4 linked regions of the Caenorhabditis elegans genome follow. The protein of the gene in region 3 interacts with the protein of the main gene of each other region in a pairwise test. Each region holds a gene or a part of one and is shown on either strand. Other genes may lie near its edges.

What was found.
Region 1: the proteins of T28C6.7 (region 3) and utp-14 interact in a two-hybrid assay, tested with the Caenorhabditis elegans proteins (one large-scale study listed by BioGRID).
Region 2: the proteins of T28C6.7 (region 3) and mig-15 interact in a two-hybrid assay, tested with the Caenorhabditis elegans proteins (one large-scale study listed by BioGRID).
Region 4: the proteins of T28C6.7 (region 3) and C54E10.6 interact in a two-hybrid assay, tested with the Caenorhabditis elegans proteins (one large-scale study listed by BioGRID).

What each region holds. Positions count from the first base shown.
Region 1 is NC_003279.8:5,422,443-5,430,408, reverse strand, and holds the start of utp-14 (Small-subunit processome), read left to right. Parts: upstream 1-1,951; 5' UTR 1,952-1,968; coding exon 1,969-2,120; intron 2,121-2,172; coding exon 2,173-2,373; intron 2,374-2,418; coding exon 2,419-2,518; intron 2,519-2,599; coding exon 2,600-2,997; intron 2,998-3,048; coding exon 3,049-3,166; intron 3,167-3,179; exon of another isoform or gene 3,180-3,211; coding exon of another isoform or gene 3,212-3,970; intron 3,971-4,015; coding exon of another isoform or gene 4,016-4,045; exon of another isoform or gene 4,046-4,136; intron 4,137-4,211; coding exon 4,212-4,731; intron 4,732-4,790; coding exon 4,791-5,047; intron 5,048-5,100; coding exon 5,101-5,247; intron 5,248-7,203; coding exon of another isoform or gene 7,204-7,623; intron 7,624-7,966. Other genes in the region: F27C1.2 (Copper transport protein), read right to left, coding at 1-126, 174-242; atp-3 (Oligomycin sensitivity conferral protein), read left to right, coding at 603-662, 786-1,098, 1,143-1,240, 1,417-1,632; F27C1.3 (Dauer Up-Regulated), read right to left, coding at 3,212-3,970, 4,016-4,045; F27C1.4 (uncharacterized protein), read right to left, coding at 7,204-7,623.
Region 2 is NC_003284.9:10,422,534-10,430,323, reverse strand, and holds the start of mig-15 (Serine/threonine-protein kinase mig-15), read left to right. Parts: upstream 1-1,749; coding exon 1,750-1,794; intron 1,795-2,172; coding exon 2,173-2,340; intron 2,341-2,635; coding exon 2,636-2,833; intron 2,834-2,880; coding exon 2,881-3,121; intron 3,122-3,741; coding exon 3,742-3,885; intron 3,886-4,084; coding exon 4,085-4,472; intron 4,473-4,560; coding exon 4,561-4,681; intron 4,682-4,925; coding exon 4,926-5,483; intron 5,484-5,792; coding exon 5,793-5,879; intron 5,880-5,981; coding exon 5,982-6,092; intron 6,093-6,175; coding exon 6,176-6,202; intron 6,203-6,512; coding exon 6,513-6,995; intron 6,996-7,042; coding exon 7,043-7,378; intron 7,379-7,455; coding exon 7,456-7,534; intron 7,535-7,582; coding exon 7,583-7,790. UniProt on the Caenorhabditis elegans protein: Involved in cell migration and signal transduction. Important in several developmental processes including epidermal development, Q neuroblast migrations and muscle arm targeting.
Region 3 is NC_003282.8:8,826,200-8,830,815, forward strand, and holds the start of T28C6.7 (Kinesin motor domain-containing protein), read left to right. Parts: upstream 1-1,604; coding exon 1,605-1,754; intron 1,755-1,801; coding exon 1,802-2,015; intron 2,016-2,319; coding exon 2,320-2,795; intron 2,796-2,849; coding exon 2,850-3,242; intron 3,243-3,349; exon of another isoform or gene 3,350-3,489; coding exon 3,490-3,583; exon of another isoform or gene 3,584-3,741; coding exon of another isoform or gene 3,742-3,933; intron 3,934-4,074; coding exon of another isoform or gene 4,075-4,242; exon of another isoform or gene 4,243-4,263; intron 4,264-4,382; exon of another isoform or gene 4,383-4,528; intron 4,529-4,616. Other genes in the region: T28C6.8 (Membrane protein BRI3), read right to left, coding at 3,742-3,933, 4,075-4,242.
Region 4 is NC_003283.11:18,807,535-18,810,628, reverse strand, and holds C54E10.6 (Protein MNN4-like), read left to right. Parts: upstream 1-1,899; 5' UTR 1,900-1,967; coding exon 1,968-2,148; intron 2,149-2,361; coding exon 2,362-2,519; 3' UTR 2,520-2,560; downstream 2,561-3,094.

The sequences.
Region 1 (7,966 bases), on a different chromosome or scaffold from region 3:
GTGTGATCCATGAGACGAATGTTCATGATGTTCATTTTGATCTTTTTCATCGGGCACAGGAACCGCTTCTACTTCTTTTCCAGCGAGCTCATCGAGAAAGTTGTCTGCAGCTTGTGCGTAAGCACTCTGAAATGCTAAATGTTAGATTTTTGAAGCAACTATTAAAATTAAACCTTATTTTCTGCAGCAGCAACCACCAAAGCCACAGCCAACCATCCTAGGATGGCCAATTGTGTACCCATGATCTGAAAATATATGACGTAACATGAAAATCAATAAAAATTGCGTTTAATATGACTAGAAGTTATACAAGATAACAATTTCAACTGCAGCTTCAACATTTTGCGACCTTTTATACGCAACCTGTCATGAACATGCATTTTATCGAGATGGAAAGTTTGCAAACAAGAAAACTCCACAAAAAAAATTGTCTAAAAATTGCAGCACCAAATGCGCTCTACTGAACTGACAGCCGGTGATTTGGCTGCGTACCTTGGCTTATGGTTAAGAGAGTGATACTCAGCCAACGACCGCCCTTTTTCTCTTGAAATTAGCTTTCAGTTCTTTTTTATCGAATTTCAGTTAAGTTTTTGTACTATTTTATGCGAATTTTTATCCCAAGCAAGCCTCTTTACCTATATTTGACTATTCTTCACGAAAAAGTATGTAAAAATCCACTCTTTATTATTTTTTTCTTAATTAAATTTAAAAAGTTGTTTTAATTAATTCGTTTGCTTGCATACATTTATTAAATTTAAATTTTGCCTAATTTCTTAATTTTGCAGGTAATGGCGCAACTCATGAAACGCGGATTCTCCACGAGCGCTGCTCTCGCTAAGGCTCAGCTGGTGAAGACCCCGATTCAGGTTCATGGAGTCGAGGGACGTTACGCCGCCGCTCTTTACTCAGCCGGACACAAACAGAACAAGCTCGACCAGATTTCCACAGATCTGAACAATGTTCGCTCCGTGTACAAGGACAACAAGAAGTTCCAAGAGTTCGTCCTCGACCCAACTCTCAAGGCCAACAAGAAGAAGACCGCCATCGAGGCTATCTCAACTAAATTGGGGCTTACCAAAGAGACTGGAAACTTCCTTGGTATTTTGTTAACGTGTAATTACAAATTTAATTGTAACTTTCAGGACTTTTGGCTGAGAACGGACGTCTGAACAAGCTCGAGTCAGTTGTTTCTTCATTCGAATCCATCATGCGCGCTCACCGTGGAGAACTTTTCGTTCAGGTACTTTTATTATAACTGCCAAGAAAAACAATGTTTCTTTTGAAATTTGTTTTCGTAAAATTATAAAATATGAATAGCGAATGTTTTCAATACGTAGAAATGGAAATTTTCAAGTCTAAATTTTAATCCTGAAGATGCTCGTACGTACCGTTTTAAAAACTAAAAATCATTTTCAGGTCACCTCCGCCGAAGAATTGAGCTCATCAAACCAGAAGGCATTGTCTGATGCCCTTAGCAAGATCGGAAAGTCTGGACAAAAGCTCACGGTGACTTATGCCGTCAAGCCATCGATTCTTGGAGGACTTGTTGTCACTATCGGAGACAAGTACGTCGATCTGTCGATCGCTTCCCGTGTCAAGAAATACAAGGATGCCCTTGCCACCGCCATCTAAATTTTTCCCAAAAAATTTAGTTCCTCATCCCGATTTTCAATCTGTGCTTCAAACCAGTTCCCTGCCTCATCATACCCAATCATTGAAGATGGTGTTTTAAAGAGTTGTTTAGTAATCGGTTTTATGTATTGTCTTCATTTTCTAGTGGGTCATAACATCAGCAGTGTAATTGTTTGTTCCAGAATTTTAAGTTTCTTTATTGTACTCTCAACAAATAAATAAATAGATCTGTGAAAAATTTCAATTATATTGACCTCGTTCTGTCGGTTACCATTTACTTCTTAATAATGTTTTGAAAGAAAACAGAATAAAATTATAGAAATTTGAGAAACAGAAATGAGTGATGACTCGGATCTTGATGACGTTGCTCATCAGAAGCTTCTGCAATCAATTCACACACCTGGAACTGTAAAGAAAAATCGTCTGAAGAAAGCATCAAAAACAAAAACCGACGCAACTTCTCTTCTATCTCATCTTACAGTTTCAAGGTATTTGAAAAACAAATTTTTTTTTAAATTTAGGATTTTTGCAATTTTACAGACCTTCAACCAACAAAGCCAAGCAAAGTCTCGGAATTGGTGGCCTAGAGTCGACAGAAAAAACAGGAAAGAAGCGAAAATCGGAAGCAACAGCAGATGAAACAACTACGAAAAAGAAGCTGAAAAGCAAAACATTAATTCCTCTAAAAGATGTTGAAGCTCGAAAGGAGATTGAAGGAAAAATTGCGTTCACTGATTTGAAGTGAGATTATTGATTTGTGATTTAATTAATAAGATATTTTTACAGAAAAGAAGTGACACAAAATTGGACAGAGCTCGTTCAAAGCAACCGCGTCAGTGATCAATTGATCTTCCCTCTCACAAAACCGGATGGAATTATGTGGGGTGTAAGTTGTTGCTTCCAAATTAAACTGTTCTAAAATTTAATAAAAGTGGAAAAATTGCTCCTAATAATTATTTTCGTTCAGGACGAGAAAACCGAGCCCGTACTGACCGAAAAGGAGATGGAATTGATGAAGGCTACAGATATTAAAATGGCAAAAGATCGTCTTTCACAAATGCAACGAATGCGTGCTATTGTTGGAATCCAAGAGGCCAAGAATCGATATATGAAGAAAATCAAATCGAAAGGATATCATCGAATTCTAAAAAGAGAAAAACGAAAACAACTTTTAAAAGAGTTTGATGATTTGGTTGCTCGTGATCCATCCGCTGCTCATGAAAAACTTGCCGAAATGGATTTACAGCGAATCATGGAAAGAGGAAGTTTGAAGCATCGCGGACAGAATCAGAAATTCAAACAGATGCTGGAAAAACATGCTAGCCGAAATCCAGAGGTCAAAAAATTGCTCGATGAGCATTTGAGGTTAGATATTAATTTTGGAACAAAAATTTTAAAATGGGAATATTTTTTCAGAATGGGAAGAGAATTAAAAGCAAAAGTCGCAACTACCGCTGAAGATTCTGATGGTGAAGCTCCAACTTCAACGGAAGATCCACAAAATAAAAAGAAGAGTATTCATGAGTTAATCAAGGTAAGTGAGACATAAACTACTAATTCATTAGACGGATTCAAGTTCTCAATAAGCTTTCTTCTTATCTGCACCGAAAACATCTTGATTGAGACCAGCCAGGGTTTGGTAGTTCGGGTCATGAGTTGCAGCCTTAGCACCATGTTGAGCAGGAGCTTTTGGTGGAGCTGGTGCACCATTTCCTCCTCCTCCACCTCCACCAACACCACCTTTTTGATCGAACACGTTGTTATTCAAACCAGCAAGAGTCTGATAGTTTGGATCGTGTGTTGCAGCCATTCCAGGTTTACCTCCTGCTGCTGGAGCCTGTGGTCCTGCTCCACCACCACCTTTCTTATCGAAAACATTATCATTCAAGCCGGCAAGAGTTTGATAGTTAGGATCATGAGTTCCGGCCATTCCTGGTTTTCCGTCCGGAGCTTTTGGAGCAGCTCCACCACCACCACCGCCTTGTTTTTGCTCAAAAACGTTATCGTTCAATCCGGCCAATGTCTGGTAGTTGGGATCATGGGTGTCAGCAATTGCAGCACGATTTTTCGGAGGCTTTGGAGCTCCGGCAGGAATCTTTCCCTTTTCCTTGGCTGCTGCTTTTTTCTTTTTTGCCGCAATCGCATCGTTTTTCTTCTTTTTACGACGCTTTTCATCATCCTCATCATCGTCATCATCATCACCTCCAGTAGTTCCTCCAGTTGTTCCTGTTTCATCTGAGTATTTTTTCTTTCCTTTCGACTTCTTCCCGCAGTTCACCAGAATAGCTGCCGGAACTGTCCAACACAGAGCAAGTTGCAGAAGTATCATAAAAATTGGCTGAAATTTTTATATTTTTTGGATTTTTTAGTTTTCAAACAATACCTGTAAACCAAATAACTCCATGCTCATCATTTGTGATATAGTTATCGATATATCCACAACTGTAGTTTGAGATCGAAGAAATAAAAATAAAAGAGTTATCAAGTAGAGGATTTTGAAAAATGATGATTTATTCTTCACGTAGTAACATTCTATTTTTTAAAATTTTATATTTAAAATTAATTTTAAAAAATTTCAGGATGCCGCCCAAGAAGCGGAGAAAGAATCCAGAAAACAAGTTGGCACGGCTCTAGTTGATACTTTCCTCGAAGACTCCGATGCTCAAAAAGTGACACTTGCTCAGATGCGAGCCAAGAAACGACAAGAAGCTGCTATAACTCGAAGTATTTCAGCGAATACTGGTGCATCACGTGAAAATCCTCTATTCGACGTCGATGACACTTGGCAAGAGAAAGAAGATGCGAAAAAGGCAAAGCAGAAGAAAAAGAAGCTACTAAAAGCGAAGGAGTCAGCGAGAAAAGGAACAATTGGAAAAGTATCATATGTTGATAAGAATTATGATCCGAAGATGGAGGCTAAACGTGCAGAAACTTTTGATGAAAAAGTGGAAAAGGCAGTGGATTCAGCTGGAGTGCATGCCGCTGAAAAACGACAAAAGGAAATTGAAATCGATCCGAGCAAATTTCTAGAGCTCAACACAAACGACTTGACACAAGTTTCGTCGGATTTTGTTGAGAAAATGGATCAGTTTGATGAAGGTAAGCTTAATCTTTTTTTTTCTTTTTATTAACTATATTCCAACGATTTTTTCCTGCAGAAGCCGCTCAAGTTATCAATGAAGCTTTCAAGGATGATGACGTCATTGGAGATTTTGAAGATATGAAAGAAGGAGTGAAAGAAAAGGAAAAAGTTAAAGATGTAGATCTCAATTTGGCCGGATGGGGCTCATGGGTTGGACCAGGAATGACTGAGAAGAAGCGACGCCAAAACTTTGTGATTAAAGCAAAAGAGAAGAGAAGAAGGGACGGAGAGAGAAACGGAGTAATTATTGCTGAAAATATGACGGCTAAGGATGTAAGCACCTGATATATCTCCTAGATTTTTTAATTGCAAAAATGAGCTTTCAGGGTATCGGAAAGATCCAGCCACGTTCTCTACCATTCCCCTACTCCCGAGTTGAAGACTATGAGGCTGTGCTAAAACAACCGTTGGGTCTTGAATGGAATATGGAGAAGATGCGAGATGAGTTGTGCAAACCTGCGGTTGTTGTTGAGGTAAGCTTTATTATATTTTACAGTTTTATTGAACATGAAAATTATGTTGAAACAAAGAGAAGGAGAAGAGAACCGTGAACAGTGGAAAAAAACGAGTGAAAACAAGGAAAGAAAGGCATTGGACTGGGAGTGTGTGATGGGTTGGACCTGAATTGTTTCAAACAAAAAAAAAGTTGATAAAACAACAGATGAAGTGGTTATAAGTAGGGAAAACATGAATAATTTAAAAATAATTAGTTTTGATCATCCGAACTAGACGAAGATCTTGCGAAGTCAATGACATGGCAACGATTCCTCCAAATCAACGAAAACGTTTTCTTCCGTGGTGATTCCTCGAGCGTACTCGTACATTATGACATACAAAGCATGATCATCGAGCATATCGTAGTCTTCCTTCTCGTCCAGTTGTTCCTTGGAAGATGCTTCCACCTCTGCAGGCTCTAAAGTCTCTAGCTTCTCTGGTACAGCTGGTTCTTCTTGTTGTGGAACCTCTACGAGTTCGACTGGAGTAGTGTCTTCAGTAACCGCGTTGACAAGTGTTCCGACGGTTTCAGCTGCAGATGTGACCATTTCTGATACGGAATTCCAGATGGAGGTTGCATAGGAGAAGTAAGACATTTTGAGAACTTGTGGTTCTGAAAATGAAATAAGTTTTAGTCATTTTAGATAAGGAAAATATGAATAGAAGGGCTGAGGAAACAAACACGCAATTTCATAATCTATTGTGCCAAAAAAGGGATAGTTACGAAATCGAGGTAATATGGAAATCAAACTACATAGAAGAAATTAAGAACATAGAGCCTAGGTAAAAAAAACGACGGACGACTGAACACCCAACGTATGGCAGGCTGCCAAATAGGCGTGACTGTGCACAAAAACGCTCGATCTGATGTAACAGTATACACCTTTGTAATCAATAACTTTCTGGCGGCTAACGAGACCATTTGATTATTATTCCAACATAGTAGAGGAAGAGAAGAGACAATATAGAGTCCCAGAATATGGATCAATATAATAGGTTTTTGAGAGTTGGTCTTTTTAAATTTGGTTTAGAAATAAGTTTCGATAAGTTTTTAAAGAATACAATTTTTAAAATCTTCATATTATTTAAAAATGTAAATCGAAAATAATGAAAGAAGAAACTGTATATATTAGAGAATCGAGTAGTAGTAGTGTTTAGAGAATTAGAGATAAAAAAATACAGTACCCCTATGAGACTCAGTGCAACCTTGCATATGCTCCCCTAAAATCATATGCAACTATTTGGTTTTTTTTAAAATCAAATTGCACAATATTTCGAATTTTCAGCCGAAAGAAAAATTCAAAAATTCTTGCAACTTTTGTTCACAATAAATTTTTTCAAAACTGATTTTGATATAATTTCGGAATAGGGACCACTTTTTACATTTGAGACAGCTCTTTTCGATTTTAAAATATTTAGAAAGGTGTATAATGTCACAAAATATAAGCGAACATCTATCATCTGTGCATATATATGCACTGGCACGGGAGACAGGAACCGAACGGCACATGTGACGAGTTCATTTTGATGTCACAAGCTTTTCCCTTTTTCGTTAAAAAAAAAGTAGACTATAAAAACAAACAAACACTGTTCTAACAAGAAAATATGCAAAAATGAACACGCAAACTGGCGAATGTTGTTCGAGTTGTAATAGGTTGCGAAATTAACCGATAAGAAGCTCGATATTCTGTTATTAATAGATTTTTTACATTAAGTATTGCCCATGATTTCTAACACCTCAAATCCCTGTTGTCTTTGAAATTTCTTGTCTGAAGTAGTTTTTATTGCCAAGGACATTGTAGAATTGATCACGTACGAAAGTTTATTGTGAAACATTGTGAAAACCGGTAAATATTACCGAAAACATGACATAAATTGGACAGTAATATTAAAATAGACCCGAACATGTATAGGATTTCTTCGTTCATCCCAGATCATTTGGAATTCTTCATCCACTCGTAGTTGTTTTGCACCATCTCAAATTGATTGTGCCTGATTGGACCCGTCTCGTCTGGATTCTCATGGATCACTTCCCATTCGATCGATGTATTTGGTGACGATGCTCCTATCGCCTCCTGGTGAACATCCTCTGTCGTCTCCTTTTTATCCTCTTGAAGATCAGACGACGCCGCCGCCGCCCCTTGTTGCTCCCATGAGAAGACTTCAGAAGAAGCCGTGGCATCCTCTGAGCCAGATCCCCACTCGAGAGCAGTCTGACTGATTTGTGTTAGAGCCTGTGTTGCTCCTTCGGCAAGTGCAGAAGCTCCTCCAACAAGGTTCGCTGCCTGTTCTGTGACTGCTGGGACGACGGTTGTGGACATGAAGGTGTAGAGTCCATTGACGATGGAGTTCATTGTTTAGTTGTAGTTTTCTGAAAAAAAATAATATATACAAAGAGACAAGTTAGACCGGCAACGGAAGGAAAAAAGAATGAAAGTGAAAGTTCGAACGGAGTAGGATTTACAACAGGATTGACTTCATAAAAATTTAAATCAAGTGCATGTATTTTATCCTAGTGTACTATCTGCCTAGATTTTTTGAATCTAGGTGTAATATTTACGGAAAAAAAAGAAAATGAAGAGACAAAGTAGATATATCTCCGATGTGCTCTTTCTACCACCAGAATGCGAATGGCAACTAATGACTAGTAACAGAATAAGAAAGACGAGAAGATGAAGAGGAACGCTGTGTTGTCCT
Region 2 (7,790 bases), on a different chromosome or scaffold from region 3:
ATTTTCTTGATCATTTTTACACACCATGTAATTATTTTGCTACTTCATATTTTAATTCAGTATCATAAGCTATAAAAATTAATGGTACTTGTGTATTATTTCCCCTTAATTTTTTGAAATTGATTATTAAATAAAAACGTGTGGAGTTTTTTTTTTCATTTTTAGGCATAGTAAATTACCATTTCTAAATTAATAAGCTACAAAGATATTCAGAAAAAGATATAGCTTATAAGCTGTCAAAGCAAAGCATTCGGTGCAGGACATGGAAAACTTTTAAATGAAAACACGTGTTTTGAAATTAACATATATTTCAAAATATGAATTCTACATCAGAACATGTTGTGAGCAATTCAAAATTTTCAATAAATAATAATTTTGGCAATAGATTCATGTTGTAAATTAAAAAAATCAGGCAATATATTAATATTTTATGGTTTTTTGATACAATCCTTTTTTTCTTCTGAAAAAATTGTTCCCGAAATGGATACTATGTAGGCTAAATAAAACGTTTCCACAAGAATAGTTTTTGTTTGTAATTTAAAACCTCTCCTTCTTTTTGCAACGTCTAAATAGGAAATATACCTCAATGTGCCATAACCTTGTTTTTTTTAGCCATGAGCGTCACTAGGATCTAGTGGTCGTAGAGACAAATACCATCGCTAAATCATTGTTAATCGGCCATTGGAGAGAATATTCGTTAAATTGATACATCTACCCCTTACTCGATCCCCCTTCATTTATTCACCATCATTAATATCTATTTAGAAGATAAGCATCATTTCATCTCAAATCAATATAATAAATGTAGATCACCAAACAGAGGCATCCCGCTATTCTCACTCAGTCGGCAGCTATATGTGATGCTGCTGTTGCCTTTTTGTGTGTCTTCTTTGGGAATGGACAGGCGCTGTTTCCATTCTTCTCCACCAGCGTCTTCTTCATTCTTCGTCCGTCCTTCATCATTATTCGGGAAAACGAGCGGGGGAATGAAATGGAGAGAGAGAGAAAGGCGGACGTCGGAGGCCTTCTTTTCGGAATCAAGGCGAATTTCTTGCGGCCTTCGATCATCCCTCACTCTCTTTCACAACCTTGTCTGCTTGACCCGATGATGTCTTTTGACCGCTTGTCAATTCAAATTTGCACGTCTTGATTGCTATCAGAAAAATTTAAAATTGCGAGCATTTTTAGGAAATTTTTTTTGCAGCAACAGAATATGAGTTATCCTATTCAACGGTTGTCTGAAACTTAAAAATTGATAATTCTTTCCAACATTATAAGAAAAATATATTGTTTTTGCAGAAAAAACACTTAAGACTTTTCTACTTTTTGAACACATTTAAACAATTTGTGCATTCTCATTTTTTTCCTCTATTTCCCGGCTGTGTAACAATGCTGGACGCGTCCGTCCTCCTTGTGCCGTCCACTGGTCTTTCTCCGACGTCTTTGATGATGCATTCCTTATCGATCTAATTTTCTTTATCACAACATGTGTTTTTTTTTCTGAAACAGAATGGTTGCTTCGTAATAATCTTGGAAACAATATTTTATTTTGAGTCTTTAGATGAAAACAATATATTTCTGTTTTTGTTACTTTTGATATAATCTGAAAATTTTTTTCTGTTTTGTTATACTTCCTGTTTCTTGTAATTTACAATAAGTGTTTTTTTTTTCAGATTCAAGTTAAATTCAAGGAGTCATTGTGTGGTTTAAGTGTCGGCTTGCTCCAAGCCGCTCACAGCACCCAAAACCATGTCGTCATCAGGACTCGACGAGATTGATTTGAATTCTCTAAGGGTGAGTATTCGTGACCACCCATACATCAAGTAGAATGCGCACAATGAATTTACTGAAAAATGTTAATTTTTCTATTCAGTCTGGGTTATCGCCCGTGAAATTAATGGTGTTTCTATAGAAAACTACCTTTTGAAGTTGAATGAAACAATCAATTTTTGTCAGCTTTAAATTTTTGTCTCAAAACTAAGAAAAAGTGTATTTCGCAACATTCACACACACACAGACGAAGTCCCACTTTCTTTCTTCGAGTGTGTGTGTGTGGTGTAACAATTTTAAAAAATCATGTTGCTCTCTTCTCAGAAATATTTACAGCTGAGTAGGGGAAAGAAAATGCGAAACTACACCAAACAACACGGAAATCACAATGATTTTTTTCAGGACCCGGCTGGAATCTTCGAGCTAATTGAGGTTGTTGGAAATGGAACTTACGGGCAAGTGTATAAGGGTCGACACGTTAAAACAGCGCAACTTGCTGCAATCAAAATTATGAATATCAACGAAGATGAAGAAGATGAAATTAAGTTAGAAATTAATATGCTAAAGAAGGTATGTGTTTTGGTTAAACAAAAATATTCCTTTCAAAATTCCCCAAATATGAGAAATGGAATTAAACCTATTTTCGAATTATTAAGTTGTCCAGAATTTTAAATCAGTTAAAAAGAAAAAAAGAAATATCTAATTTCTGATAAATACATTTATAAATTATATTTGTATGAATTGATGAAAACTTAAAAACGAAAGCTATTTTGAAGACAGTTTTGAAATAGTGTGAAAAAGAAATTTCAAAAAAAGGAGAACACATCGATGAGGTCTTACACGGAAGAATCAAATTGATTTGCAGCACTCCCACCACCGGAACGTAGCCACTTATTATGGTGCTTTCATCAAAAAGCTGCCCTCTTCGACCGGAAAACACGATCAATTATGGCTGGTAATGGAGTTTTGTGGAAGTGGTTCTATCACCGATCTTGTAAAAAACACAAAGGGAGGCTCTTTGAAAGAAGAATGGATTGCATATATTTGTAGAGAAATTTTGAGGGTTTGTCTTTACCGATTCTCAGACATTTTCAAATGTATTTCTTATAGGGACTTTACCACTTGCATCAAAGCAAAGTTATCCATCGTGACATAAAAGGTCAAAATGTGCTTCTTACGGACAGTGCTGAGGTGAAGCTGGTAGATTTCGGAGTATCTGCACAACTTGACAAGACAGTTGGAAGAAGAAACACATTTATTGGAACACCATACTGGATGGCTCCCGAAGTTATTGCATGTGATGAAAGCCCTGAAGCTACTTATGATTCACGTTCGGATTTATGGTCTTTGGGTAAGTAATGACGATGTGTAATATAAAAAGTTTTTATAAGGCTTGGTATCAGCATTTCACTGATTTAAACACTGAATTTAGCAACGCACCCAAAATATATTTCTCAATTTTATTAATTTAATTCTACTTACAATAATAATCAAATTGAGGTAAATTGCAGAAAACTAACGCTGATTTCCTTCTCTAGAAAGCTGACAACAAAAAAATATGGCTATCAGCTTACTATTTCGAGAAACTAATTTTTTGGAAAACTTTAGCTAAATGAACACTGAAAACTAAGTTCTTTTCTAATTTGAAACTTTTAATATACATATTCAACGTCATTTAATTTCCAAAAGTGTTCTAGTAGAGCTATAGTCTGTTCTTGAACATACTATTTTGATGTTTTTTCTCACTATTCCAATATTTGCTCCGTCTCCTTCAATTCCCTCAACATATCTCCCTCCGGACATTTTCGTTGTGTTTGTGTCTGCTTTCTTTCATTATTTGCATTTATGTGTAAATGGGCACAAAATTCGTAGTACAACAGCATTAAAAAAGCAAAAAAAAACCAAACAGGGGTTTTGTATAAATGGAAAATGACTCATGGAGTTTCAAAATCTTATTGTTATCCAATTTAGGAATCACGGCATTAGAAATGGCGGAAGGTCATCCACCGTTGTGCGATATGCATCCGATGAGAGCGTTATTTTTAATTCCAAGAAATCCGCCGCCAAAGTTGAAAAGAAATAAGAAGTGGACCAAGAAGTTCGAGACTTTTATTGGTGAGTTTTTTTGCAGATAATTTTTCAGTCCGATTATATGAAACAATAAATTGTAAAAATGTGTCGCTATTCGTATTTTTGAAACAGTTTTGCAAATGGGTTTTTGCTGAAATTTTAAGGAAGCACGCACGGGCAAATAGAGTACATTCCAAACAATATTTTCAAGTCTAAATGATGCAGGTCAAGTTTTAAATTTCAGAGACTGTACTTGTGAAGGATTACCATCAAAGGCCCTACACTGGAGCCCTACTTCGTCATCCATTTATCAAAGAACAACCACATGAGCAAACGATCCGGCATTCAATCAAAGAGCATATTGACCGAAATCGGCGGGTGAAGAAGGATGATGCAGACTACGAGTATTCCGGCAGTGAAGATGATGAACCATCTCCGAACAATCGTGGTCCTTCAATGGGCATTCGAGATGACTCGGAGAGCAGTTCAATGATTCCAATGGATAACACATTGCGTAAAGGCTTTCAAAAATTGCAAGAGAGTAGTCGTGGTTTTGCAGAACCAGGTGCTCAGCAGCTGAGGAGACTGCCCCAGCAACCAGCACCAGCTCCATTCCAATATCAGCAGTCTCGGTATGTCACCACTTTCACTCAATACTTTTCACAGTTCAGATTTGACGTTGTTCTCTTAATAGTTTCATTGTAAATTTGAAACCTTCAGATACGTTGAGCCAAGACGAGAATCATCCGAAGTCAAACTGAGGGCTGTTTCATCTAGAGGAGCTGCCGATGGTCCACGTCATTCGCCAGCATCAAGGCCACGGCCCGTGAGTCATCATCAGGTTTTGTTTTCTTACCTTCCTTTTAATATTGTCTAAACAGTCATTCAGTACTAATAATATACTAATAATAACAAACATTAACAAAGTTGAAGCATGTAGGGTATGAACGATTCAAATAACCAGTTGAGGTTTTTTTTAATAATAAAAATAATGGAGGCTATACAGAAAAAATGTTTGTTTACCTGGCTTAAAAGTGTTTGTAGTGTAGTTTTAAAAGTTTTAAATAACGTAAATAAATTTTCAGCGATCTCCACAACAATCCCATCCTGCAGCCCCACACTTGGCGGATTTAGCAAACTATGAAAAAAGAAGACGATCGGAACGAGAAGAGCGACGGGAAAGAGAACGTCAGGCTCACCACGCTATGCCGATTGCACGTGTTTCTGCAAGTGTACCTGCTCCACAACAGTCTCGAAAAATGTCAGAACCCCTTCTGATCACTCATGTAAAACCAGAAGATCTTGACGTGCTCGCCAGTGAGCTTTCTAAAATGGGCGGTCATCACAATGGACGCAGTCGCGAGGAGAGCATGAGCCCACCGCCACCGGCGCCACCACCGCGTGAGGCATCGATCTCGTCTATCACAGACACGATTGACGTGGGTGAATTGGATAATGGAGCAGATGCGGAGTGGGACGATTTGAAGGACATTATGATGAACGGAGAAGGCACACTGCGCGGCCCGAATAAGCCGCTTCCGCCAACACCGACAGATGGCGAGAATACACTTGTGTCAGATGTGCGTCGCAATGGAAATGGAAATAGTGGCCATGGGGCTTACAAGGGAAAGAAAATTCCAGAGGTTGGTAGTGTGAGATGAGCGAAAATATATACTCGTTTCTTTATTTTTTTTCAATTATCTAAATTGGTGCATTTCAAAAATCGATAATATCAATAAGATGCTCACTTTAAAAATTAAATAAATATGAAAAAGCCAATTAAAAAAATAAAAACACTACTGTTTCTGTAGCAGCTATTTTCAAAAAATTATAACTGGCAATAACATAAAGGTGCTTTTAAAATAAAAGGAACTGCCACGACGCCGGGAAAATTTGAGATAAGCTTTCACAACTCAATTTAAAACGTATTTAAAAAACAGAATATTTTCTAGATTCGCCCTGGAATTATCTCTCTTGACGACGACGACAGCGACTCGGACAACGAGGAAGGCAACGAGCCCCTTATGTTCAAACCAATTGTACGTTGTCCCTTCTCTATTTTTTTTTGGTTTCTCTCGGCCAATGTTATACATAGTGTTGACGGCTCTATACCACTCGTGAAACATCTTATTTGGTTCCAGAACGCCTCAAGCTCGCGCGGCGCCCTGCCAGATCTCTTGCCCAAATCGCCACAACTCCGCCGTCAAATAAATGACCAAACACGCCAGATGAGTGACGATCGTGCAGATGAGGTGAGTGTTTTGATTTGAGAATAATATATGTAGTGGAAACCATAAATTTGAACGATAAAACATGTAATTTTATAATTATGTAGAGCGCCTCTCTATTTGGAAGTTTTTATGTAAGTTACTCGATTTGAAATGACAGAATTTGTTGTGATTTTCCGATTTATTCCCCCTTTGGTTAAACTGTTGGTCATCTTTTCAGAAAACAAATCATCCTGTGTTTTATTGTTTTTGATGCTGGTTATTCAGTTATTTTAATTTTCGAAAGATATGTAGTTCTTCTTTGTTGCGGTTCTTTTTTTATTGTTTCAATGTCTTTGGATATATTTTTGATGATCAAAAATCAAAATACAAATTTTTGTTGAAGTGATTATATTTTGTCAGAAGATAAATTTTAATAAATAATAAAACATGATTTGATTTCAGCAACCAAATGGATTCCAAAACTCTGACAGCCGTTCATCAATTCAGCATTCATTTTCGAATCGTGATCGCGAAAAGTCATTTGTTGGATATTTTGGTGGTGGCGCCGGAGCCGGTGGTGGCACAGTAAATCGACCAGGGAGACCGCAAGACATTAACCAAGTTCAAGTTAATGTGACACCAAATTCTAATGGAACACCAGCTGAGAACGATGCTCCAGAAATCAGGAAGTACAAGAAAAAGTTCAGTGGAGAGATTTTGTGTGCAGCTCTCTGGGGAGTTAACTTGCTTATTGGAACAGACAGTGGACTTATGCTTTTGGATCGAAGTGGACAAGGAAAAGTTTACCCGCTCATCAGTCGGAGAAGGTTTGATCAGATGACGGTTCTCGAGGGACAAAATATTCTCGCAACAATTTCCGGAAGAAAAAGGAGAATCAGAGTGTATTATTTGAGCTGGCTCCGTCAGAAAATTTTAAGAACAGAGGTATGGTTTATAAACATTTTGGATATATCTAATTTTATGTCTTATAGGGTGCTGGAAGCGCCAATACGACTGAAAAAAGAAATGGATGGGTTAATGTTGGAGATTTGCAAGGAGCCATTCATTTCAAAATTGTTCGCTATGAAAGGATAAAGTTCTTGGTAGTTGGTCTAGAGTCGTCAATTGAGATTTATGCGTGGGCACCGAAGCCATACCATAAGTTCATGAGTTTCAAGTCATTCGGATCTTTGAGTCATGTTCCTTTGATTGTCGACTTGACAGTTGAAGACAATGCAAGACTCAAGGTTCTTTATGGATCGACAGGTGGATTCCATGCAATTGATTTGGATTCTGCAGCGGTCTATGATATTTATACGCCAGCACAGGTATGATAACTTCAGAATAAGAATTGAAAACAAAGATGAATCATTTAAATGTTAGCCTTTTATTTTTAATTGTTTAGAGCGGTCAAACTACGACTCCACATTGCATAGTTGTTCTTCCAAACTCCAATGGAATGCAACTCCTTCTCTGTTATGACAGTGAGTTTTCAAAAATAGTATTCACTTCTTTATCTATTCTTATTTCAGATGAGGGAGTATATGTTAACACGTACGGAAGGATGACAAAGAATGTAGTCCTGCAATGGGGAGAAATGCCAAGCAGTGTGGCGTACATTTCAACGGGTCAGATTATGGGATGGGGCAACAAGGCGATTGAGATTCGATCCGTTGACACTGGCCATTTGGATGGAGTGTTTATGCACAAGAAAGCTCAGAAGCTGAAATTCTTGTGTGA
Region 3 (4,616 bases):
AATGGTTTATCGAATTATTACAATGACCTGAAAAGCCTAGAATTTATGCTATCAGTAATGCTGATTTTTCAGAAGAACTGATGAGCTTAATAGACACAAATGCCTTTTGAAAATAGAAAGAGAACTGTGTTTCATGGGTTACCAAACTTAGTAAATTTTCTTCTCGATGCTGTTTGATCTATCTTGACCCAAAAACTTTAGTAAGACAGAAATTATTTTAACAAAAATATCAGTTGTGTGCTTTGCTTTTTTACATCGTGCTCTCATGTACTGACAGACAATGAGACGTGTTCTTATAACGTTTTGTTCACAGTTTTCAATGCTTACTTTAACTTTTCTGAATACACACCGCACAGAAAACTAATGATTTAAAATGGCCTACATGAAGAGTTCCAAAACAGAAAATAAAAATTGAAAAGTCATGTTTTTTCATGCCAAAATAGTCATTTGGTTATTTTTACCATCGATTTCTTTTTTGTAATTAATATCCGTATTTAATGTCACTAATATTTCACCGAGCTCTCCCATTATTTGGCCCATACACTATGTCAATGGTCACCGCGAAAGTGAAATGCGCCACCGCAAACGAATGTGCGTCAGCAGAAAATCAATAACGCGGGTGCCGTGTTGGTCGACGTGTCTCTCGAAAGGAACTAATTCGAACCAGTTTTTTGTAGAATTTCGTGTTAAAACTTCATTTTTGATTCTTCAGGAATTAAATTGCACGTAGATTTGTAACTGTTTTAAGTCGTTTCATATATTCTTCCTTATGTTTCAAATTTAGTTATATAACCTATATTTAAATTGCTGTATTAATTCACAGTGCTAGCCAAAGAAGCAACCTTTTTTGGTTTTTGATATTGTTGAGAATGATTAAAATGAATTCCGAAACTATTTCCGAAACTAATTCAGAAGCTAATTCAGAAGCAAATTATTTTTACTTTTGTATACTTGTTCAAATAAGTTAATTATATTCACTAGTACCAAAAAAAGCGGAATTTCTAGAGTATATTATTATTATAGTTAAAAAATGAAACAGTAAATGAAAATTATTTTACTTCAGCAACCTTTAAATACAAAAATAAATATTTTGTTAGTTATACTTCTGATAACTAGGTTACGAGTTATACTTTTGAATAATTTGCAACATTATCAAAAAACTGAAAGTGAATATATTTTTGGCATGCTCCTTATACCTAATCAGTTTATTAACTTTAAAAAACGATTTTTCATCCATTATAAGACTTCTCAAGTAGTGTCGGAAGATTAAAAAATTTTAGAAAAAAAAGGATGTGTTCGGAAAACTTTTTGAAAAAAAAACGTGAGACGCATATTATTGCGTGAGATTAAAATGTGAGCTTTCCACGTGGGTTCAGCGCCTCTCCGTTACGTGGAACGGGGTTTCTCTGTTTCTCTCTCCAATCTCTCGCAGAAAATTTATTCTGGATTTACAAATTATTTAAAAAGTTTTTGAATAATTTTACGTCATCCCTTTTTTTAAACTATAATTTTCAAATTTCTTTTCTTCTCATTGTTTCTTCACGTCCTTGAAGTATACTGTCACTTTTTAAATACGTTAAATACAAATATAATACTTTTCAGAAATGGAGGACAAAACCTCCAAAGAAAAAGAAAAATCGGCCGACAAACGGATCGATGAACGGGTTCATCAACAACTGGTGTATAAGGATAACCGAATTATAGATTTAAATAATGTGATATTGGATAAAGAAAGGCAAATTTTGGACTTACAGGTGAGAATTATTCTGTTTCTGTGGTTTCATATTGGAGTTGTATTTAGGAAAGAGTTCGTGAGCACAATGAAGTTGCTTCAGTCAAAAATCAAGCAATGAGAATTGTTCAACAAAAATTTGAAGAAATGAATAGAGACAAGAAGGATATGTCGACAGAAACTGAGCCTTCTTTGATGGCTCATTCCTCAGTACCATTATCAAATTCAAAGAGTGAACGGAGAGCAAGAAGTTCATCTCCAGGTCATGTCATTGCACAGAGAAGTGAGTAAAGTTTTTTGGTTAAAAAAAAATGAAGTTGTCATGCACCATTTCTGAATATATATGACGTTCAGTTTTATTTTTAGAATTTTTTTATTATTCCCAAACAGGAAAATTGCTGATCTTAGACGTGTTAGGACAACTGTAACCTACAGTAATCTAAAGGTAGCTTGCCCAAGTAATTTGTATGCTCCTCTTTTTCTTGAAAATAAGCTCGAAAATTGAGCACACGGCTAGAAATTGAAAATTGTGACGATATAAAACTTTTTTTTAAAGTTTAACGGAATTGAATTGATCTATTTTTCAGAAACGATGGTCTCAAGTTCATCGGGAACCTTCTCTCCTCCACCATTGGATCCTCCATTTGATCCATCTAGCAAACTGAGCGCTCTTCCAGATATTGACGGAATCCATAGGAAACATCAAAGAAAACGTGTAACTTTTGATTTAAATCCAAATGGTTCTTCAATTGGAACATCAACATCTTCCAATTTTCCATCTACATCTGTTTCCCGCTATCCCACCATTTCAATGTCTTCTTCAACTTCAGACGCTCTCGAGTCTGCTTTAACAGAAGCTTCATCTGAAAATGCTTTACTCCGTCAGCAAGTTATCGAACTAAACTCATCTGTTGAAAAAATGAAAGCAGACTATGAATCTGAAATTCTCAAATACACAAAAGAGGCAAAAACTGCTGGACTCAAGGCAAAGGTTGCGGCGACTGCAAGAATCAAGGAGTTGGAAACTACACTTGAAGATATCAATGGAAAATATGAAGATGAGGTAAGTGAAATAGATGAATATATCATTTTGTATAGAAACGTTTCCAATTTTCAGAGGGATCGTCTTCAAGAAGAAGTTGACACTCTCCGATCTTCTCGAAATTGGGAAATAGAACAAAATGCTCTTCTTCGTGATCAAGTTGCTCATTTGAAAGAAAAAGTTCACAAGTTGACAACAGAGTTAGATGCTAGTGAAGTAGCCAAACGATCCTTGAGCTCAGAAGTTGACGAATCTAAAAAGCTGATGGAATTGATGGTTGAAGATCTCCTTCAAGCTGAATCCGCTATCAACTACAATCAATGTCAGAAAAAAGCTATTTTTGAGGACATTGACCGATTGAAGGATGCCATTCAAGCACAGGATAGATTTATTGAAGTTCTTGAAGCTGATATTGTCATCTATGAGCAACATATTGGACTTTTGAGAGAGAATTTGGGTGCTTCACAGGTAAGATTTTTATTTCCTGTTGAAGCTCATTTTTTCCATAAGAAAATCTTTAACATCTCGAAATTTCTAGTCTAGAGAAAAGTCAATTGAAATATCTATAAAAAAGAAAAAGTATTATATTTATTAACGGAAAAATTCTGGAAATATACGTTTCAAAGTTATGTAATTAATCACACTGAAACCCGTAGTTTAATTGACCAAAATCAAACAGAAAAAGAAACTGAAAAATATTTCAAATAATTTACAGGTCGATCATCGAGCACTGATAAAATCAAAAGCTTTCGAGACGAAACTATTGGCTTTGGAACGCGAAAAAGAGCAAAGTGACAAGAAATCAAATGGTGAGACGATAGGAGACTTTTTTGTAAAGAAAAATGGGATAAGTATCATTTAAAACTTCTGATCAAGTATCAGAATAATCGGAAATATTTACTTATGAAAATTACTTAAACGTAACAAACCCCTTTTGAAACCCTGGCGAAATCAAAAATTCAAAAAATTAATCCACAATTGGTGCAGTTGATAGTGTGGTGGAAACTGTAGAATCTGTGGATGATGCTGTCATTGCCGGATTACGATATGCAGCAAAACTAGCTGGAAGAGCCGTTTTTGTAGATTCGTACAAACGGAAGTTGTAGCCCAATCCGGGAGTTCTTGGTAAAATAGCACGGGTTTCAGTACGTTTAACCACCTGCAACATTTGATTTATTAAAAACGAGATAAGACATTAGCTATTGCAGAACACCAATACATTTCTTTAGAAATTATAACTAAAGCTCTCATTTTCATAAGAACTAAGCCTTCTAATTTTATTTTGAAAGAAAAAACTCACATCACATTGACATTGTGTGCAATAGTATGTTTTCCGTTTCATGCAGCAGTAGATTCCACACGGAAAGCAAAAAATTGCGTATAAAATTGCTCGCCAACTGAAACGGCTTTTCACTTTTTTCTGAGTGCAAGCCGGACATGACAGATTAGAAGATGTAGTGGATGACATGATGGTTTTGAAGTTTTACATCTGAAATTTAAGCTTTAAAAACTTTTTAAAAAGTGTTTGAAGAAGGTGTGCAGCAGTTTCATATCTGGAAGCTCATACGTGCTTCTCCGTTTATGAGAATAAATTATGCCTAAACTCACTTGCCACATCGAATCGTGTTCCAATAATGCAAAAAAAAATTAATGTGGGACGCAGCGTGTCAATAATCGATGGGAGAGAAAGGACAAAGTATCCGCTCGACTGCCACCTCACTGTTTTCGCCTAAAGTATCACAATCAACTAAAGATAGACATAGAGAGAAACGGCACGCAGATATACAGACAGACAGGCAGACATATAGAGAAATTAGAGAAACATTGTTTTGTGTTGACAAT
Region 4 (3,094 bases), on a different chromosome or scaffold from region 3:
GAATTTTGAGTTAAAACTGTATACTTTTGACAGTTTCAACAATTTTTTTACAATATGCAAATCGAACTAAATGTTATGATCTCTGCAAAACCTTCATATTTGCAAATAATTTTTTTCAATGAATTTTTTTACTCAGCGTTTTTTACTTTCTCACTTAGAAAAAAATATATACCCTAGCAGGGGTTTGAACCTGTGACCTATTTCCCCAAAGGCAAGCCTGTTATCCACTGCGTCAACCCCTTCCTTCCTGGCTACTTCTCCGGAATTGCGCGCGCGCACGCATGGCTAAGTGAGTAAGAGGCTTGGCTATGGAAAAATAGGTCACTGGTTCGATTCTCAGGTAGGCTGTTTAGTTTTTTCTAGGTAAGAATTTGGAATTTTCATGGCTTGTGAGCTGAAAATTGGAGTTTTTAGCCATTATTTCTTCTTTTTTTCTAAAAAAAAGAATTTTTGAAGTCAATTTTAGTTTTCATATTTTAGAAAAATAGTCAAATGTACACCAATGCTTGAAAACTAGGAAAAAACTGAAAAATATCCGGAAGAGTGCTTGAAAGTGAAAAACAAAGGGATTAGTGGGAATTTTTAATTTTTTCGCAAAATTTTTCTCAATTTTCATAAACAGCTGTGCTAAAAATCTGGAAAATGCAGGAAATTGAATGTGCTCGGTGGGAAAAATTAGGAAACATGAATTATTCCTAAAAAGTAACAAATAATAAGCTAACACGCAATTATACACATTTTTTGCTGCTTTGGTGGCTTAAAAATGACGTAAATATAGCTTTTATTCAAACAAAAAAAATACATTTTTTCTAAAGATTGCGAAAAAAAAAAATTCTGGAAATTTTGAAAATTTCGAAAAAAATTTTTTTTGGAAAATTTGAAAATTCAATTTTTTTTTAATTTCAGGATTTTTGCTTAAAAACCCACAAAAATATGCTAACTCCAATTTTTATGCAATTTCCCTTCCTGAAAATCTAATTTTCCACTTAAAAACCACACAAAGAACACAAAGAAATCCAATTTTTTTTTTGGAAAAAAAAAAAAATTCTGAGATTTTCGCTCTTTTAGCCTATGCTGCATAATAATCCTAGAAAAATATCGGAAGCCTGACAAGAAGTTTCCAGAAAAACGTGACAATTTCAGCTTCCGGGGGGTTTCACACATTATTTTCTTTTCTCTGGCTATATTTTCGAGTTACATGGGAAAATGACAAATTTTTAACTAAAAGAAAGCAAAAAACAAATTTTTTTTTGAGAAAAGTGATGTGCAGCAAAAAATGCGGAAAATTTGGTTTTTTTTTAACTTTTAATTTTCCAAAAAACGAGGTTTTGCGTTGAGTTTGGCAATTTCAAATTCAAAAATTCGAATTTCTCACCTAGAAAAACCTGTATACCCCAACCGGGGTTCGAACCTGCGACCTATTTTTCCAGAGACGAGCCGCTTACCCACTGAGCCATGCTGGCAGGCGCGCGGTGCGCCACTTTTGCCACGCGGTTCCCATGTGGCGCAGTGGGTAGGTGGCTTGACTTCGGTGAAATAGGTCACAGGTTCGAGCCCCGAACTGGTTTACAGGTTTTTCTAGACGAGATTTTTGAATTTTTTAGTTTAAAACTCTGAAAATCGACACGAAATCGGGTTTGCTGATTTTTTTTTCGAACTTTTCATTTAAATTCCACCAATCTTTGGGTCTTCACAACCATAAATTTAATTTCCCGTAAATAAATTAGTTCTCCTTCCGAACCAAGCCACCAGCTGACACCAACGGCTGTGTTGCACTTCTCCCCGTCTCGCACCGTCTGCGTCTCCGCATGCTCTCTAACTCTCTCCCTCGGAGGCTGAATCCCAAGCCATCTGCTGTCCGCAGAGTGCTCATTCCTCACTTTTGTATTGATTTACTGAAAATTTGACGAGTTTTCGCCAGAATTTTGCTGGATTTTCACAAAACTTCCTGTATTTTCAGCCCAAAAATGTCTGAAATCTCCATAAAACGTGCACATGAAAACGAAAAAGATGCAGAGGAAGATATGGAGCCAGCAACTAAAAAAATTAAATCTGATGACGTCACAGAGGAGCAGGAGAAGCCTGAAATTGTGGAGAAAGCTGAAAAAGTGAAGAGCATGAAAAAGGAAGAAGCTGGCAGCCTGAAATGTGAGTTTTTGAGCAATTTTTGAAAAGAAATGGGTTAAAATAGACTGAAAATGGATGATTTTAAACTTTTTTCTAAAAATTAAAATTTTGAAAATTTTGATCAAAAAAAAAATTTTTTTTTGAAATTTCGAAAAAAAAAATGTTTGAAAAATTTACAATTTTTATTTTTTTTCCTATTCTTCATCAGAACATTTGAATCAAAAAAAATTCCAGCACCACCCAACGATGAAATGGAGTCAGAATTCACACATGTGCTCAATGAGCTCTCAAAACAGAAAGAGACTATCAAAAAACTGCTGGACGATTTGAGAGCGGACAATAAGAAAAGGAAGACACACAATATTAGAACGATTTTCCAGAGAAAAGATTGAAAATTTACTTTTTTTTTGACTATAAATATTTATTTTGCATATTTCAATTTTTTCAGTTTCAACAAAAACCGAACATTTTCAGAGCTTGCGACTATGAAATTCGAGTTTAGGAGAGTAGATATACCAAAGACAAATTTAAAAAAAAACACAGAAAAAAATTGTGCCACAGTGCGGACTCGAACCCCGGCCTTCAGATTGGTAGTCGTCGAAAATCCCACTGAGCCATTTGAGCATAATTTTTAAAAATCGCGGAACTACATTTTTTCAACAGTTTTTGAAATTTGAAAGACTTATCATTGAGTTTTCAAAGTTTTAGATACCTAAAGTTACTGGAATAAATAAAAATTCTCAAACTTTGATACTTGGAAATGAAATGTAAATGAAAATTGCTTCCGTGAGAATTCGGAGAAGTTAATGAAAAGCAACAACAACATATTACCTTAACATTTTTCCATCCAAAAAACCGAAAAATTAAACACCTTTTGTCAAAATTCAGTTCAAAAATAAGCTTTAAAAACTTTGAGATCTAAAAATTCAGATTTCTCGCCTAGAAAAACCTATTGTCACTCTCGTGG